Notamacropus eugenii: one gene and its partner. The protein of the gene in region 2 binds, or shares a complex with, the protein of the main gene of each other region. Links are inferred from orthologs where the notes say so. Each region holds a gene or a part of one and is shown on either strand. Other genes may lie near its edges.

Region 1 (7,754 bases), on a different chromosome or scaffold from region 2:
AGCTAGAAACACCAATGCAGGGAGTTGATAAAGGAAATTTTTAACCAAGATGAACTTTTCAACTTCTTGATTGCATTTTTCTAGAAAGAGTGAAGAATATATCCACTGGAACTTTGTTGAGAACGCTAAATTCAACTGATTAAGTCTGCAAGGCTCGGCCTACTTCCATGAAGACTTCATTGGTTTGATGAAGGATCTGTTTAATTGATGGGGAATGACACTGTGACAGATTAGTTCTGCCTGGAGCAATTAGACTCTTATGGGAAGATCCTTAAAAGATAGTCATCACACCTCTTTTCCTTCCCTTTTCTTCTGGGACGTTCTGGAAAGCACAATAGTTGCTACCTAAGAGCAGCTTTGCAGAAGCACATGGCAAGGCAGACATATTCTTGCCTGAGTAGCCTGAAAGGGAAGTTCCCAGATCAAGTTGTTTCTGGACCTTTGCCTTTAGTTGTAGAAGGTGGGGGGGCGGGGAGGGGAATTTCACAGGCATAATTCAGAAATCTGTCCTAGCCAGAGAAGAGAGATTTCCTGGGCAATACCAGTATTAGAGGTTACCTTTGCAGCAAACCCAAGCATAAGAAGAGTCCTAGAATCTAGCCTTAAGACAGAGCCTTAGAGACAGAGAAGAGGATCATGAATCTGGCTACTGGTACTGGGCAGAACAGTGGCAAGGGACCAAAAGCCACAATATAGAGGACCAAAGGGCCTGGAATTTGTACTCTGCTATTAAAGGTAGCTATGCAGACAGTGAAGGTCATCTGGAAAGTCAAGTGATCCAACAGCACCAAATTTCCCTTCCAGGGGGAATAGTCTAAGACTACTAGGTCCAGAAAAAAATCTACACAGAAAGCAAAGATGGTCCAATGAATCTGGGGAGCTAGGGGAAGGATAATACATTCTCTCCTGTGGGAAGAGGGACACACCTGAATATTGTAGGGTAACCCCACCAGGGACCTCAACTAAATATTCCTTTGGAGTCTAAACCACAGGCAGGAGCTTCTGGTATGGAGGAATTTAGGACCCTGGTGGAAAAAAATTCTTTTGATAGTTTATGAGCTATTATGAGTGGTTTAATGTGTGTTCTGAACTTGTTTATGGGCTCCTGAGTCCTTTGTATTCTCTGCATTCTGCATGTCTTATTGAGGGATAAAATAAAGACTACTCTACACTGGTTAAATGCATTTGCCACCTTTAATACTTGTAGGGGATCTGAGGAGCCTTTTATATACCATTTGTAGACCTAAATGGTATTCAGAGATTTCCTGGAGTAAACTCTGGGAAAAGGAGAATATTTGGGCCAGGCCCCAAGATCAGACCAAGTCTGTTTAAAGAGATTGGGGGTAGGGGAAGGGTCCTGGAGGGGACACAACTATAAATATTACTTAGACTCTGCTTTTGAGGAGCTTACACGGGTTCTGGGTTCAAATAGTGACATTGCTACTTGCAAACTAGGTGATCTTGCTGCAAGACAACTAAACTCTTAAGAGATAGAGAATGGGTCTTAGAGTCAGGAAAGACCTGGATTCCAGTCCAGTCTTAGACCAGCTGTGTGGTCATAGGTGAATCTGTTAACCTTTTGGTGACCCTCTTAGACGGTAAGTAGGGGATGAATTGCAGACCTCTATCAATGGGAGAAGTTTCCATACTGACAGTTTCCTATCACAGTGAAATCACAGGTCCAGACTAAAACAAACAAATAAACAAACCAAAAAAAGAAATGAAACTGAAGGGATCAGACTATGTTATGTGATTGCTAAGGTCCCTTGCAGTTTTAAAAATTATGAGTTGGACAACATAAATATCACACATGTCAACAGAGAGAGGTGAAGAAGAATTTAAAGTTAGATAAAATTTCAAATAGAAAAAAAATTAGAGCTCATTCCCCAACTAGAATATAAGCTCTCTGAGGCCAGGAACTTGTTTCCATTTTGAATTGGTGTCCCCAGGTCCTACCATAGTGCCCTTCACAAATAAATGCTTGTTGGATCATTTTGCAGGTGGAGAAACTGAGGCCCAGAGAGAGGTTAGGTGACTCGTCTATCCTCAAGCCATAAAGGTAATGAAGTAAGTAGCTTACAGTTCTAGACTTGGGGGCAAGGCCTGGGCCCTTCTAGCTGGTCTGATCTGTGACCCCAGCTTGTCACCTCTTTCTTTCTCCTTGCCTGGGAACAATGTAATGAGCCCTTTTAGAACCAAAGACAAGAGGGATGTGTGTGTGTGTGTGTGTTTGCCCATTCATCGCTTTATAAAGAGATGATAAAACCTCTTACTCCATGACAGGGTGACCACCTGTTCCTTAGTGGGGGTGGTATGGAAGTGACAATGCCTATTGCTGAAGGAGGGTCATTACTCAGATGTTCTAAATGTACATTGATGGTGAATCACTCCAACCTTCCCAGCATCCCACTCCCCATTATCATAACTGGAAGCACTTAGCACTCTTCTCCCTTCCTATCAGTCATCTTCCCATTGTACCAAAAAGAAAACAGGTGGAGAGGGAGGCTTGTGAACATCTACAAAAGACCTCTCATCCTACCCACCAATTAGGGCTGTCTTCCAGGTTTTCTAACATGGCCTCTATACCCAGTGTTCATAGAGCTTTATCAGATTATGCTGAAATCCCTAAACCCCCCTCCACTAATCCTCATTAAAGATGAAGACCGATTGGGAGGCAAGGGAATCCACAATCATGGTAGAAGAAGAGACAATTTTGTCCTGGGGTTGGGGGCCTTGGTTTCCCTGAGGGGGGGTGGACACTCTGGAGGGCCTCAAAGTGGGCCTTTCCAGGGGTAGTGGCAGTAGGGGCCTCAAGGGATCACATCCTCCAAGCCAGGCTGATGGTGACTTCAGAGCTGAAGAGGTCCATTCTATAAATGGTGAAGCATACAACAAAAAGAAGAGAGGGAGGAGAGGATGGCCCACAGCCCTGACGCTGACGCTGTGTTAGTCACCCACAGACATCATGTCCAAGGGATTTAGATTGAATAGCCTTTTACCCTGGTACACGATCCAAGTTCCTTCCTTCGGCTCATTCTCATTCTTTTGCACAGTACTAAGAGTTGGGAGTGGCCTTAGAGATAATTTAGTGACCTCACCTAGGGATTCCTCACCTAGGATTCCCTGGACTTGTTTTTAGATATTTTGAGAAATGTTTTCCAATAGGATTTAGCTTGCTTTGTAGCCCTACGTACTTGTTTTATGCATTTCAAAACAGGATTTTTAGAAGAGGTCCACACACAGGCTTCACCAGACTGCCAAGGGGGTCCATGACTCACAAAAAAGCTAAGAACCCTATTTTAGTCCAACTATTTCATTTACAGATGGAAAAACTAAGGCTAAAGGAGGTAACACGCCCCAAGTCTCATGCTTAATCAGTGCCAGAGCTGGGATTTGGATGGAGACCAACTCCAAATTCAGGGTTCTTCCTACTGTACCCCACTACTCTCCCTTGGTGATCCCTTTGGAGGGAAAGTTCCCTCTCCTTGTTCTGAACACTCATGGCTTCCCATCCCCCCTTCTCCAATGCAAGGGCAGGATTCCCAGAAGGGGAGAAAAGCTGCCCAAGGGGAAAAAAACCACAAGTGTTTCTGCAGAAAAAGGAGAGCCTTATAAGGTGGAGGGGGGACCACATAAAGTCCCCTCCCCATCCCATCTCCCAGGGTGCTGAAAGCTTCCAGGAAGCCTGAGGGGGACCCAAGACTCAGAAGCCAAATTGGCCCTAAAGAGCCTGGGTCTTGACTTGGGCCAATTACTCCCCTATTCTCCCCCTTACCCTTTCTGCTGATCCACAGATGCCCAGGAATTGAAGGCAATGATGGGAAGGTCTTAGTCCTCGAACCCCAAAGGGTGGAGGATGAATAAAAGGAGGAAAGGGACAGAAAGAGAATCAGGAGAAAACAGGGATTGAGAGAGATATAAACTCATCAACTAAGACAAAGCTTCTAGAACGCAGGAAAGATGTTGAATAGGTGCTTAATAAATTCGGGTGGGACTTAACTGCCCCAGAGACAGTCTTTGACAGCGTTTATCTCTGAGTTCATCTCTGTCTCTCACTATAAAGTGACCTCCATCTCTGGAACGGTCACAGAGAGAGACAAATAGACACAGAAACCCAGTACAGAGTGCCAGACATGGGCAATCCATAGGGTTAACCCAGCCTATGGGGGGGATGGTGCCTGTTGTCTCAGACTGTCCCTGTCCCCAGCCCTATTCCCGTCTCCAAATGGCTAGGTCCTCCCCAGGAATTCTCAGCTGGTTACTCTTCCACACTCCCCCCACCCCCCTTTCTGGGCTAAGAATGACTATAGCCGGGCCTCCCCTCCCCTCCAACATCCCTCCCCCCACCAAGGTGGAAACAATGACTGCATCGGCTCCCAATACCAGGGGCCTGACATCACGGGGTTGGGGGAGGGGGGTGGGGTGGGGGAGGGGGGACTGGCTGACGTGGGGGAAGGGGAGGGGGGGATTGCTTCTCAGCCATTGGTGGGTCCTCTGGCCCAATGAGACAACCAGCCAGGGCTCATATGGGGAAGCCCAGAGTTCCAGCTTTCAAAAAGTTGCAGGGAAAATTTGAGGCCACTTCAGCAGCAGCAGCAGCAGCAGCAGACAGGCACCAGGAGAAACCCAGGCCAGGCTCCCCTCCACCGGCAGCAGCACCACCAGGATGTCTACTGCTCACTTCAACCGGGGCCCTGCTTATGGACTGTCGGCTGAGGTCAAGAACAAGGTAATTACCTTAACTCTATCATCTCGCTCAGTTTACCCAGGGTAGGATTCTTAGTCCTTAGCCTCCAAGGGAGAAATGTCATGTCCCAGGCCCACCTCCTGCCTTCCAGGCTCTGAGTTTCTTCCTCCTCCTTCAGTACTCCCCAGCCCCATCACTCGCTCTGGTTCTAGGCACCTGGAGGGAAGGATAATAAGGAGACTAATCCAGGGAGCCAGGCCTAGACCAGGGAACGAGGGCCACTGTCCTGAAGACCAAATGAGGGTCATTCTTGTCCAGCTCAAGCCCTGGATCTTTCTACCCACACCCAAATGAACTACCCGCACCATTCACTAGCTTCTGAAGTTTCTGGTCCAAAACCTGCCAGTGAGGAGTAATGGGGGCTCCCCAACAGTGATGAGATCTGAGTGAGACGAAGAGGAGAGGAAAGGAGAGGGTTTGGAAGGTGGAAGGGACAAGATGGAAGATGGAGGGGTGGAAGGGTCAGGGGAGAAGGATTGGAGGGGAAGGAGAAAGGGCAGAATGGGCAGAGGGGAACAGGAGACAGAGATTGAAGGGTCAAAGGCCTAGGCGTCGAAGGACTGGAGCAGGAAAAGGGTGCAGGGGAGAGGGCCAGAGTCTGGAGAAAGAAAGTTTGGATGGGCAGTAAGAAGGAGGGGATAGAGAAGAGAGGTTAGTGGAACAGGAAGTCCAAGACATGTCTGAGGGGTCTAGGTTGTGGGGTGGGTCCTGGTGCCTGAGGGAGAGAGGGCCTCAGCTGAGTAGGCCTTTTGAGGGAGTCCGGATTTGCTCAAACACCAATCTCATAACACTCCTCTTGGGAATATCTCCTCCCTAGAAGCCCTTACCCCCTGAGGACAGGATTTTGTGCCCTACTTTGTACCCTGTAGTTCAGCTTTTCACACCCATTCTCTTGTATAAGGTTAATCTTAAAGAGTATGGTGGGTGAAAGAAGGAAGAAGGGGATAGATTCCCCATGGGAGGAGAGGTACCAAACAACTAATGGTCCAGGAGAGGCAGGATCCTTTCCCTCAGCATCCCCCATCAGCCCCAGCTGAGGGCATCCCTCAGCTCCAGGGCCACCTGCAGGGAGATGCCTTGACCAGTAACTGAGAAATTTTAACTCTTCCACTATCCCTCATCAGACAGATATTAAGTCCTGGACCCCCGAACCCCAACATGGGGAGCAAAGCTGAATCTCAGAGGTTCTGAGTGACAATGAAAAGGCAAGAAGATATTAGGAGGCATTGGGACTATTTGGATACTTGGTTCTGAACTGTTATCATGAACTCTTCTAGAGCTCTGGGTTAGAAAACTCCCAAGGAGGTAGATCACCTTGTCACCTGCTTGAGCTTTTCCTGTTCTGGACTCCCAGGAGAACAGACTGGCTATGTTTTTGATGACAGGTGGCTGGGAATACCCAGAAAGGCCAACCTGTTGATAATGATGGCTAGCAGGAATCATCTCCACCCCATCCCCCAACAAGAGAACATGGGAGGCTTAAGAAGTTCAGACTGACTTCCAATCATTGTAGACTCCTGTTTATCCTCCAAATCCCCCAGGAACCTTTCTTCCTGGGTCTCAAATAACCTCACAGAGCAGCACTCTTCCTGATAGCCCCTGTCTCCTTTTCTGATGGAAAAGCTCAGTTCTTTGGAGAAAGAAACTTGGATGGGGGGAGGAGGATTGATCTTGGCTGGTGGGGCTGATGTCTTAGCTGGGTGGGAGAATTTTAAAATCCCAGACCAGCAGGAAAGGATCTTAGAAATTATTTTGTCTAAACTTCCTCCCTTCTCAGACAAGAAAACGGAGATTCCCCAGGGAATAAGGGGTCTTCCCCCCTCCCCCTCTCTTCCCTGTATAACAGAATTGGGAGAGAGGGGGAGGGGGGAGAACTTGGACTGCCCATCCCCCACTGGGACCCAGCTCCAGACTACCCCCTCTCTCCCTGGAGCACCCGGCAGAGCAGCCTCTCCATATAAGGATGCTCTGGGGGAAGCTGGGCAGGGAGGCCCAAGCTCTATATAAGGGCTGGTTTGCTTTATAAAGCAAACCGGAGCTGGAGGAGAAGTGGGGGCTGGGGGACCAGAGGGAGGGGCCGTTGTACAGGCTGGCAACGGATGCTCCTCAGGCCAGGTGAGTAGGAAGAATGGAGAGCTAGGCCCCTCCCCTCTTGTGGGAATCTGGCCCAATCCTTCCTCCCCCTCCTCCTTACCCCACTGCCCTGCCAGGGGCAGATCAGGCACTGGGCACCCCCTGCTGGCATGTTGGAGACTAAGGGGGCAGTGCTCAGGGCAGGCTTTCTACTTCCAACCCTCTTACTCCCTCTATCCAGGTCCAGAAGCCTTGGGGGAGGACCTGGGAGGTTAGTGGCCAAAGTGGGTGTTGAGATAGCCAGAGGACTTGTTTAGCCTAGTGAGATCATGATGGCACCATGTCTACATACTCTGTCTGTTAGTCTCTCTCTCTCTCACACACACACACACAAACACACACACACACACACACAAACACACCTCAAAACCCAGCATTGCCATAGGATCACCTGTCTTAGAAGCTATCAGCCATCTATGGAATTCCTGGTTGAAAGACTGGAAATGACTTCTCAGGATCTTCTCAACTCTGAGATCCGGAGATGTAGTTACAGAGGACTGGAGATGGAGAAGGTAGAGAAAAACAAGCCCCAGAAAGATGGCCAGACACATAGCTATCCTTGCATACTAACACACACACACACAGAGAGAACCCTAGGGAGAGACAGGGAAAGAGGAATGGGAAGGCTGCAGAATTAGGACATGCACAGTGAAACCCAGTGGTTGGTATGACCTCAAATGATGCTTCTGTGCTCAGGCCTTCTGCATTAGGTCCTCTGTCAAGACCCATGCTCAAGAAGGGATGAGAAGGGAAGAATCAGGGAATAGGGGCACTCAAGTTTGGTTAAGGGGATTGAAAGAATAACTTCCTCCCCTCCCCTGGGGCACTCCTTACATTTCTGCCCAATCCTTCCCTATTTCCCTATGCCAAACCT
Region 2 (8,122 bases):
CTTGCACATAAATCAGAATGATAAGACTGTTTCATCAGTTGGAAGAATCCTGAGAGACCATCTAGTCCAGATCTTTTATTTCAAAGACAATCAAGCCAACAAAAGGGACTCGAATTTGTCAAGGTCCTACGGTGAGTTAGAACTGGAACTCACAGTATTTGCAAAATGAACGAATAAATGATGATATGTTCTAGTCTCATGGGAAGCATTCTGCAAACTTTAAAGCACTATAGGATATTAGCCATTTATTATGATGATCACTTGCTTTTGCCTGCAAACACTTAGCAGAAGATGGTATCTCACTTTGAAAGTGGTTCAAAGAATTAAGCTGAAACCAGTTATTATATTCTCAGACTTTTAAATCCAAAACTTCATAGTAAAAGACCCATACTGCTTCCTAACAAGCCCAGTGCTTTCTTCCCAAATCACGCATCTCTTCTTGAGATTGCAACCTGGACAGACCAAGCAGGCCCTAGTGATCCATCCTCTAGGTGACAAATTTTGAAATTCTCCCAGGTTTTCTGATAATAATGTTACACTCAATCTGCATAGGATCACAGGATCACACAGGCATAGAAGAAGAAGAAGCTTCAGGGGTCATTAGTGAAGCCCCTATCCCTGTTTACAGATGAGGATATGGAAGTATAGAGAGCCTATGAGATTTACCTACATAGGCAACAAATAAGAAGCAGAACCAGGATCTGGGGAACCTGAGCCCTTGTAATTCTCCATCCAGCATTCTTTGTCACAACCCCAAGCAACTTCCTTTGATTTCAGAAAGCAAGAAACCATCCCAGAAAATTCTAGTCCCTGAAGAAACCAAAAATATATGGCTCTTATAAACAGGTAGGATATGGAGCATATGATAGAGAGAATTTGTTGGCATGTCCTTATCTCTGACCCAAAAACAGGCATCTGAGAAGCATTGTGGTCCTAGAGGGAGGGCCAATCCGTGGCTATGAAGCTGCTCTGCTCAGTACAGAGCTAACTGGTCAGGAAGGGGATGGAACTCCCAGCTTTAACCTCATTAGCACCACATGAATTAATGGGCCCAGTCTCTCCACAAATACAGATGAATAGATTACAAATGCTTCCCACTCCTTTAGCACTCTGGAGAATTTTATCAACAGGAAACAAAAGCGCTACACCTCTTTAATGAAGTGTCTGATTTTTTTTTTCTTTTCAAATTAGAAAAACCCAAAGACTGTAGCCCAGGGAACAGCTAAATATTTAGACTGTTACATGAGTTACCAAGACCCATCCACCCCCTGTGGCCCTGTTTTTTGACCATTTAAGAAGAAAACTTCAGATGGGCAAGCTTACAGTTGTATGGATGTATGTACACAGTATGAGCCTCCCTCCACTAACGCATCTCAAGCCAATCTGGAAAAGCTGGCGGGCCTGTGTTTATAGCAGAAACCCTGGCCCCAACTCACATCCCACAGCAGGCACTACAACAGCATTAACTTATTGAATCCTTTGACATGTGCTTGGCTTCAGGCCATCTGCTGAGTGCTGATATTTTCCCCTTCATGTCTAGATTTGACATAGTTTTACAATATAAATAAACAAACCCAATCAGCTGTGATTATTTCATTTACCCAAAGACAATCCTTTCTTCCCATCCAATCCTAAACTGACAAGCACATATTCACTTGGTAGAAAGTTATTTTTGAGGCAGTTAATTTTGCTTATATGTTTGGCAGATGAAACACAGTATAACTTTGAAAATTTAAATCACATGCACACCACCTAACAAGTCAGATTTTCTTTTCTTCCTCCATTTAATGCCTTCTACCTTCTTACAGATCTTTGATTTGCCCACTGCAATTGTGACTCTGGGTGCTGGAGTAGTGATTGATTCCCTAAGGCAACTCAACTACCCCATGCCATGAGTGTGCTCCACACAACTGTCAGCAAGGTGAACAGTCAATACCAGCCTAAGCCCCACAGTCTTTTCTCCTCCTTCATCCCATTTCTAACAGCTTTAAGGGCCAGGGGGCAGTTAGGAAGCAAAGCTCATTACTAATTGCACTCACCTGTCACAGTAAGCCAGCAGTATCTACAGAACACCCAACCTGGGGTGGTGCGGCTCCTGCTCCACTGGGTCGGCGCCTGAGTTAAGAAAAAAAAAAAAGGAAGAAAAATGACTCATTACAAGGGCCACAGAATGTCAGTTCTTGCGGTGTCTGTTCAAGACGACACCAAGAAAGATCTCTTAGCTCAGGTGACCTCCGACAAACTTGATTGCTCCGACCCTCCACGATTCCGCTTCAGCCCAGATCTAAAACCTGAAGGGAATTTCTCTGTTCCAGGCACGCACTCCATAAAGGCGACAGATAACACTCTAGGTCTCGCATCTCCGCAATATTCAAACAGTTCAGGGGGAAAAGTGTGAGCAGATCCCCAAGCACTTGTTTGCTGCAGGAGAAGGGGATGGCATCCTTTGCGATGCTGGGCATCCTCCGCCGGCTTCCCAAACACAAACAGGCTACGTTCCCAAACCTCATGTGTTCGGGCCCCCGTTTTCACCTTTCCCAGCCCCCCAACCCGGGCACCACGGGCACCCCACAGACCTGGGTTTTCCCAAAGCGTGCAGCCGGAGGATTTTTTTCCCAAGATTGTTTCCTCAAGGAGATACACTCGCGCATTGCCTTGCCCCCTCCACACTCTCACCCCCGGACCTATTTCCTGCCACTGGTTCCTAGCTCCTAACTTGGGGCTGGGAGAGGGAGCGGGACCGAACCCTCCAGTTGTTCTGGCTAGCGGAGGGGGGACCTATATGCCAAGGGGGTAGGGGGGCAGATCGCTGACAAGGGCACTCCAGCTGTGTGCCAGCAGCCCCGAACCCTGCGGAGCCCCGAGCGCCGGGGAGGGCGGAGCAGAAAAGTTCTGCTCCGTCTCCCTCGGCCACTTCCCTGCACGCTGGCCGCTGTCCCCCGGCCCGAGACCGTACCTCGTCGCCCCCAGGAGAGGTGCCCGCTTCGCTTCGGGAGCCGGGCTCGGAGAGCGTTAGCAGCTACTTTGTCATTCCATGTCCCCGCAGCTGGAGCTCGGTCCCGTTAGGATGGACGCGGGCTCGCCACCCTCCTGCGTCTCGTCCCGTCCCGTCCCGTGCCGTGCCGTCGGGTGCCTCGCCTTTCTCTCGCTCCGTCCACCTCCCCTCTGCTCCTCCTCCGGCCGCTGCTTCTCCTCCTCCCCCTCCTTCTTCTTCTTCTCCTCCGCCACCTCCACCACCACCTCCTCCTCCTCCTCCTCCCACCCCTGTGAGTTGCAGGAAACGGTTCAGCAGAACATCCACATGGTTACTGCACTTGGGCTCCGCTTCGCCGCGGCTTATATACCCCTCGTGGCTCCCTGGGCAATGTAGTCCAAGTCAAGGGTCTCGCAGGCGCCTCCGGCGGTGAAACAAAACTACAATTCCCAGAATGCCTCGGGTTTCCCGGGCTGAGGTTCCAAATAGTCTCCCTGGCTTTGGGGCATCTGGGGAACGGAGAGTTCTGGGGAAGCGAGAGCAGTGGGAGCTTTCTGGCTTGTCGGGGTCCGAGGGAGGGTCGTTTTGTGTGGTCTTCTAGGAACCAGACAGTTTCCCGACCCTGCCCTGGCAGGCTGGGCTGGGAGCCTTAAGGTCCGAGGCGGCGTGCCTCCAATCTCCCGGGCCCCTCCCCACCCCAGACCCTCGAAGGATAGCCTCTTAGGCAGCCTCTGGGCCGGGATTAGACTTATATTTTGGGAAGTTTTTGCTTTGTTTCATTTTAATGGGCTGTCAACTCCAGTTTGGGCCAATACACCCTGGCCAAGAACTTCAAAAATCCACCCAACGCACAAAAATGCCAGTGCAGTCGCTCCCCCGTTAGAAGGCGCGCTCCCCTGGAAAAGAGAACGAGGGGTTGGTTGGGTTGGTTGGTTGGTTTGGGGCGGGGGTCAGTCTTGCTTTTCTCTGTATCCCCAGGGCTTAGTGACTGCTGGATGCCAGCTCCGACTGAAGGATGAAGACCCAAGGTTGCCTTTAACTCCCAAACCCCAGCCCTGGAGTGGCATGTCAGCGATGGGACTTGCATGGGAGGCTGAGGGGGTCATCCGAGGGGGTCTACACGGGACGGACCTCGCGGAAGGGGCGCACATGGGGCACCGGGCACACACTGGCGAGTCCTTGGGGACTCTTCTACCTAGGGGCGGGCGGTATGAAAACTTGATTATCCGGGGCTAACCAATGAACGTTACGATTTGTTAATGAAGAGATTTGGAAGCGAATACACGCACGAGCGCGAACACTAGCATTCCAAACAAAATCAGAACCATCGAGGGCGACATGCAGCCCTGAAAGCACCTAAACTCGAAGCGTCGTTTTAAGTCTCTGACAAAGCAGCAGACTGGAGGGCAGGAGCTTGGAGCCAGAGGACTAATCTTCATTCCTCCTCTTACTTCCTGCCCCCCTCCAAAGCTTCTAAGCAGGGGGCTATAAACTAGCGGCTTGCGGGTTCGCTTTCAGCATTGATAACTGTTAAAACACACATTTGTTTTGTTTTCAAAGCAGGCCATTCTGCCCCAGGGTGATAGCACCCACGAAAGGTGCCCTCTGCCAATCAGTCAACCAACAAGAATCTATTACGTTCCTATCATGTGCGTGGCTCTGCGCTAGACGCTGGGGATTCAAGGACAAAAATGAAATAGCCCTTGTCCTCAAGGAGCTTCCATTCTATGGCGAAGGCAATACATATACAGGTACATAATACCGTGTCCCAAAAGTCTTAGTGCATATCCAAGCTATTAAAGTTTAAAGCTGAACTAAGACTTTTGGGACATACGGTGCAGTAAATAGAAAGCAAGACAATTTGGAGTGAGGCATTAAGGCATTAACTTGGGGGGGGGTGGCGTGGGGAGGGGGTATTGAGAAAAGCCTCTTGTTAAAGGTGGCCCTTGAACTGAGCTTTGAAAGAAGTGAAATTTTAAGAAGCCATGGATGGTAGTACATCCCAGACATGGGAAATAGTCAGTACAAGAATAGAGGGAGGACAGTGCCATGTCTGAAGGACAGAAGGAAGGACAATTTGGTGGCATGATGGAGCATCATGGGGAATAATAAAGAGTAAGACTGGACAGGTAAATGGGAACCAGTTTGTAAAATGTCAGAGGAGTTCTGGAAGGCTTTAAATGCCATCGGAGGACACTATATTGAGCCTTGGACACCTGGTAAATCACTCCAGGTTAAATCAGTTTGTTGGCTTGGTCAAGTCATTTTCTCACTACCTTAGATTAACCAAAGGAAAAACAACAGAAATCTACCCATATTGCATCGTTATAGGGCTTCAATGGAATTCACGTTGGTTTTAGGCATCTGTTTGACACTTCATGACCCCATGGACCATACCCTCTATGGGTTTTTCTTGAAAAAGATGCTTATGTGTCATTTTCTTCCCAGTAGATTAAGGCAAATAGAAGTTAAGTGATTTGCCTAAGATCACGCAGCTAATAAGTGTGTGAAGCTGTATTTGAATTCAAGTGTTCCTGTTTCCAAGCCCAGTACTCTATCCACGTAGCCATCTAGCTCCTCTATGATTTTAACATCACTGCAAATACAAGTAGAAGACCGGGGGAAGGAGAAGCAGCATCACTGACTGACTGTACACTTCATTCATCATTTTTGTAAAAAGCACCTGCTAGCCCACTTTATCGTAGAAAAAACTATAAAGTCCACAAAGTTTGTCATGTTCCTTTCCTTTTTTGTTTTCATTCCCTCCTTCCTTTTGAAACTACCTTCACTCTTTCAACTTTCCCCCTAGTTCCCGGTGCTTCTATGCTCCCCCCCAAGCTACCAGACTCCTTTTCCACCCCCAGTCCTACCTAGATCCCTTCTCCTCTGCAGCCCAAATCAATTCAACAAAAATTTATTAAACACTTATCACATGCACATTATTATATTAGATACTTCCCCTCCTTGGCAGTCCCCAGAGCTTAAATATATCTCATCTTTCTCTTCCCTAGTATCACTTCACCAGGTGAGAATTTGCTTGTCTCATCACCTAAGGTCCTGCTTCTCTATTTTTAAAGGTGGCAATGGTAGGCCACAATAAGAGTTTTATGCATCATCCTTTCCAGGCATTTTAGTAAGGGTTTGGGGGAGAAACATTAACCCAAACAAATTACTCTAATGGCCAGAATTTCAGGCAAGTGGCAGAATGATAGAAGAAATTTCAGGGGTGGGAGAAAGGGGTCAGTTGGTACCTTTCAAGTCACAACCTAAAAGTGATTGGCCCAGTTTGACATCACTAACCCTGGAGTCTGACAGCTACCAAAAAAATTTATCTACCAAGATCGTTCTGATATAATCAGAGTGAGAGTGTTTTGCCCATCCCTAATCTGTGAAGAGAAGGAAGTTTTAGTTTTTGCCAAAGGCCCTCATCTTCCTTGACCTCCTTTGTAGCATCTGACTGCAGCTAACACCTACTTCTGGGTTTCAAAGACCTCTCATTCATCTGACTGGGCTCTTTCTCCCCGCTTTGCTAATTCCTTTACTTTTTAAGATCATTGTTCCCCCAAGGCTCCATCTTTGATCCTCTTCCCTTTTCTCCCTCTACTCTCTCTGTTGGCAATCTTATTCATTCCTAGGGCCTCACTCTGATTCCTATGCAGATGGTTCCTAGCCTGACCCCAGTGATGAACTCCAGACCCACATTTCCAATGACTGGTGGCTCAGCTTTACCTGGATGTTCCACAGCAACTCAAAATCAAATGTGCTACCCAAGAGACAGGGTACAGATGCAGACCTGGCCCAGACCTTGATCCCTAGCCAGAACTGTATGCTCTAACTGCCTATTGAGCACATCTTTTCCTAGATGAGTAATAACCACCTCAAATATAACATGTTCAAAGTCAAGCTAATCTTTCCCTTTAAATTTTCTTTTCCTTCTAATAATGGGCTTGATTACAGATCGAGATGGAAGCAAACTCAAAAGTGATCTAGCTCAACCCCCACATTTTGCAGAATAGGAAAGAGAAGTGAAATGACTTGCCCAAGGTAATACAAATAGTGAATATCAGAGGTAGAGTCTGGATCCAGGTCTTTTGACTCTAGAGACCCAAGATCTTTTCACTGTGCCATACTGTTTACCTGAGGCCAGGAACTCAGCTCAATTATAATGTCAAATCATTCTACAGAACAGAACATAGGCTCAGACATTTAGAGTTGAAAAGGACCCCGCAGGCCATCTAGAGTAATCCCCTTAATTTACAGATGACACAAGTGAGGCCCAGAGAGGTCAAACAACTTGCCCAAGGCTACACAAATCTTCAGTGCCTTTGCTATTTTCATGGTTAGCTGCATCGGATCTCTGCTTGAAAACGTGCTGTCTTTGACTAATTCTTTTTCTTCAATAAACATATCACACTGGTTATGATCAATAAGCATTTATTAAGCACCTACGATATACCAGTTTGTCCTTAAATTTCCTTTCTACTAGTGTATGCAGTACACCTGTCACATATGGTATTTATTGTCTGCATGATCTTGGCAAGAACTTTTTCTCCCTGGACCGTAGTTTCTCCCTCTATAAAATACAAAATGATACATTCTATAGAGGGAGATAACATATGTGTGTGTATGTATGCATACATACATAAACACATATATACTTACTTATATCTACATATATAGAGATATACAACATATATCCTTACATTTATGTATAGGGGATAGGGACCTGTAATTTCCTTGGTATTTCTTTGCTGAATTGAATATAAGAAGGTGAAATCAGAGCACTCTGAGATGTTATTGTTTGTCCTTCCTTTCCAAAGAGGACCAGTGACATTGTGGGACGTTGCCTTGACTTGTGCATGAATTGGATTCAAGTGAAGCCGACTTGCACAAAGTCATCCGCCTCACTCTCTCTTCTAGAGTCATCAAAGTTCAGTGGAAAGACAAAAATCAAGACAACTGGCAGTAGACTGAGAAATACTATCCTATTTATTCCTCACAACAACCTTAGGAAATAGATACCGTTATCATCTCCCTTTTACAGATGAAGAAACTGAGGTACACAAAGGTTCAGTAACTGGCCCACCATCACACAATTAGTAAGTTTCTGAGGCTGGATTTGAACATGCCCAGCCCTCTATCCACTGC

The links.
Region 1: ITPR1 (region 2) and CNN1 share a complex: the UniProt entries of both Homo sapiens proteins name them as parts of the cGMP kinase signaling complex. The link is inferred for Notamacropus eugenii from reciprocal best matches to the Homo sapiens genes ITPR1 and CNN1.

What each region holds. Positions count from the first base shown.
Region 1 is NC_092875.1:78,383,162-78,390,915, reverse strand, and holds the start of CNN1 (calponin-1), read left to right. Parts: upstream 1-4,552; 5' UTR 4,553-4,666; coding exon 4,667-4,729; intron 4,730-6,810; exon of another isoform or gene 6,811-6,862; intron 6,863-7,754. UniProt on the Homo sapiens protein: Thin filament-associated protein that is implicated in the regulation and modulation of smooth muscle contraction. It is capable of binding to actin, calmodulin and tropomyosin. The interaction of calponin with actin inhibits the actomyosin Mg-ATPase activity.
Region 2 is NC_092874.1:441,491,333-441,499,454, forward strand, and holds the start of ITPR1 (inositol 1,4,5-trisphosphate-gated calcium channel ITPR1), read right to left. Parts: upstream 3,137-8,122; 5' UTR 2,957-3,136; intron 2,116-2,956; 5' UTR 2,040-2,115; intron 1-2,039. UniProt on the Homo sapiens protein: Inositol 1,4,5-trisphosphate-gated calcium channel that, upon inositol 1,4,5-trisphosphate binding, mediates calcium release from the endoplasmic reticulum (ER).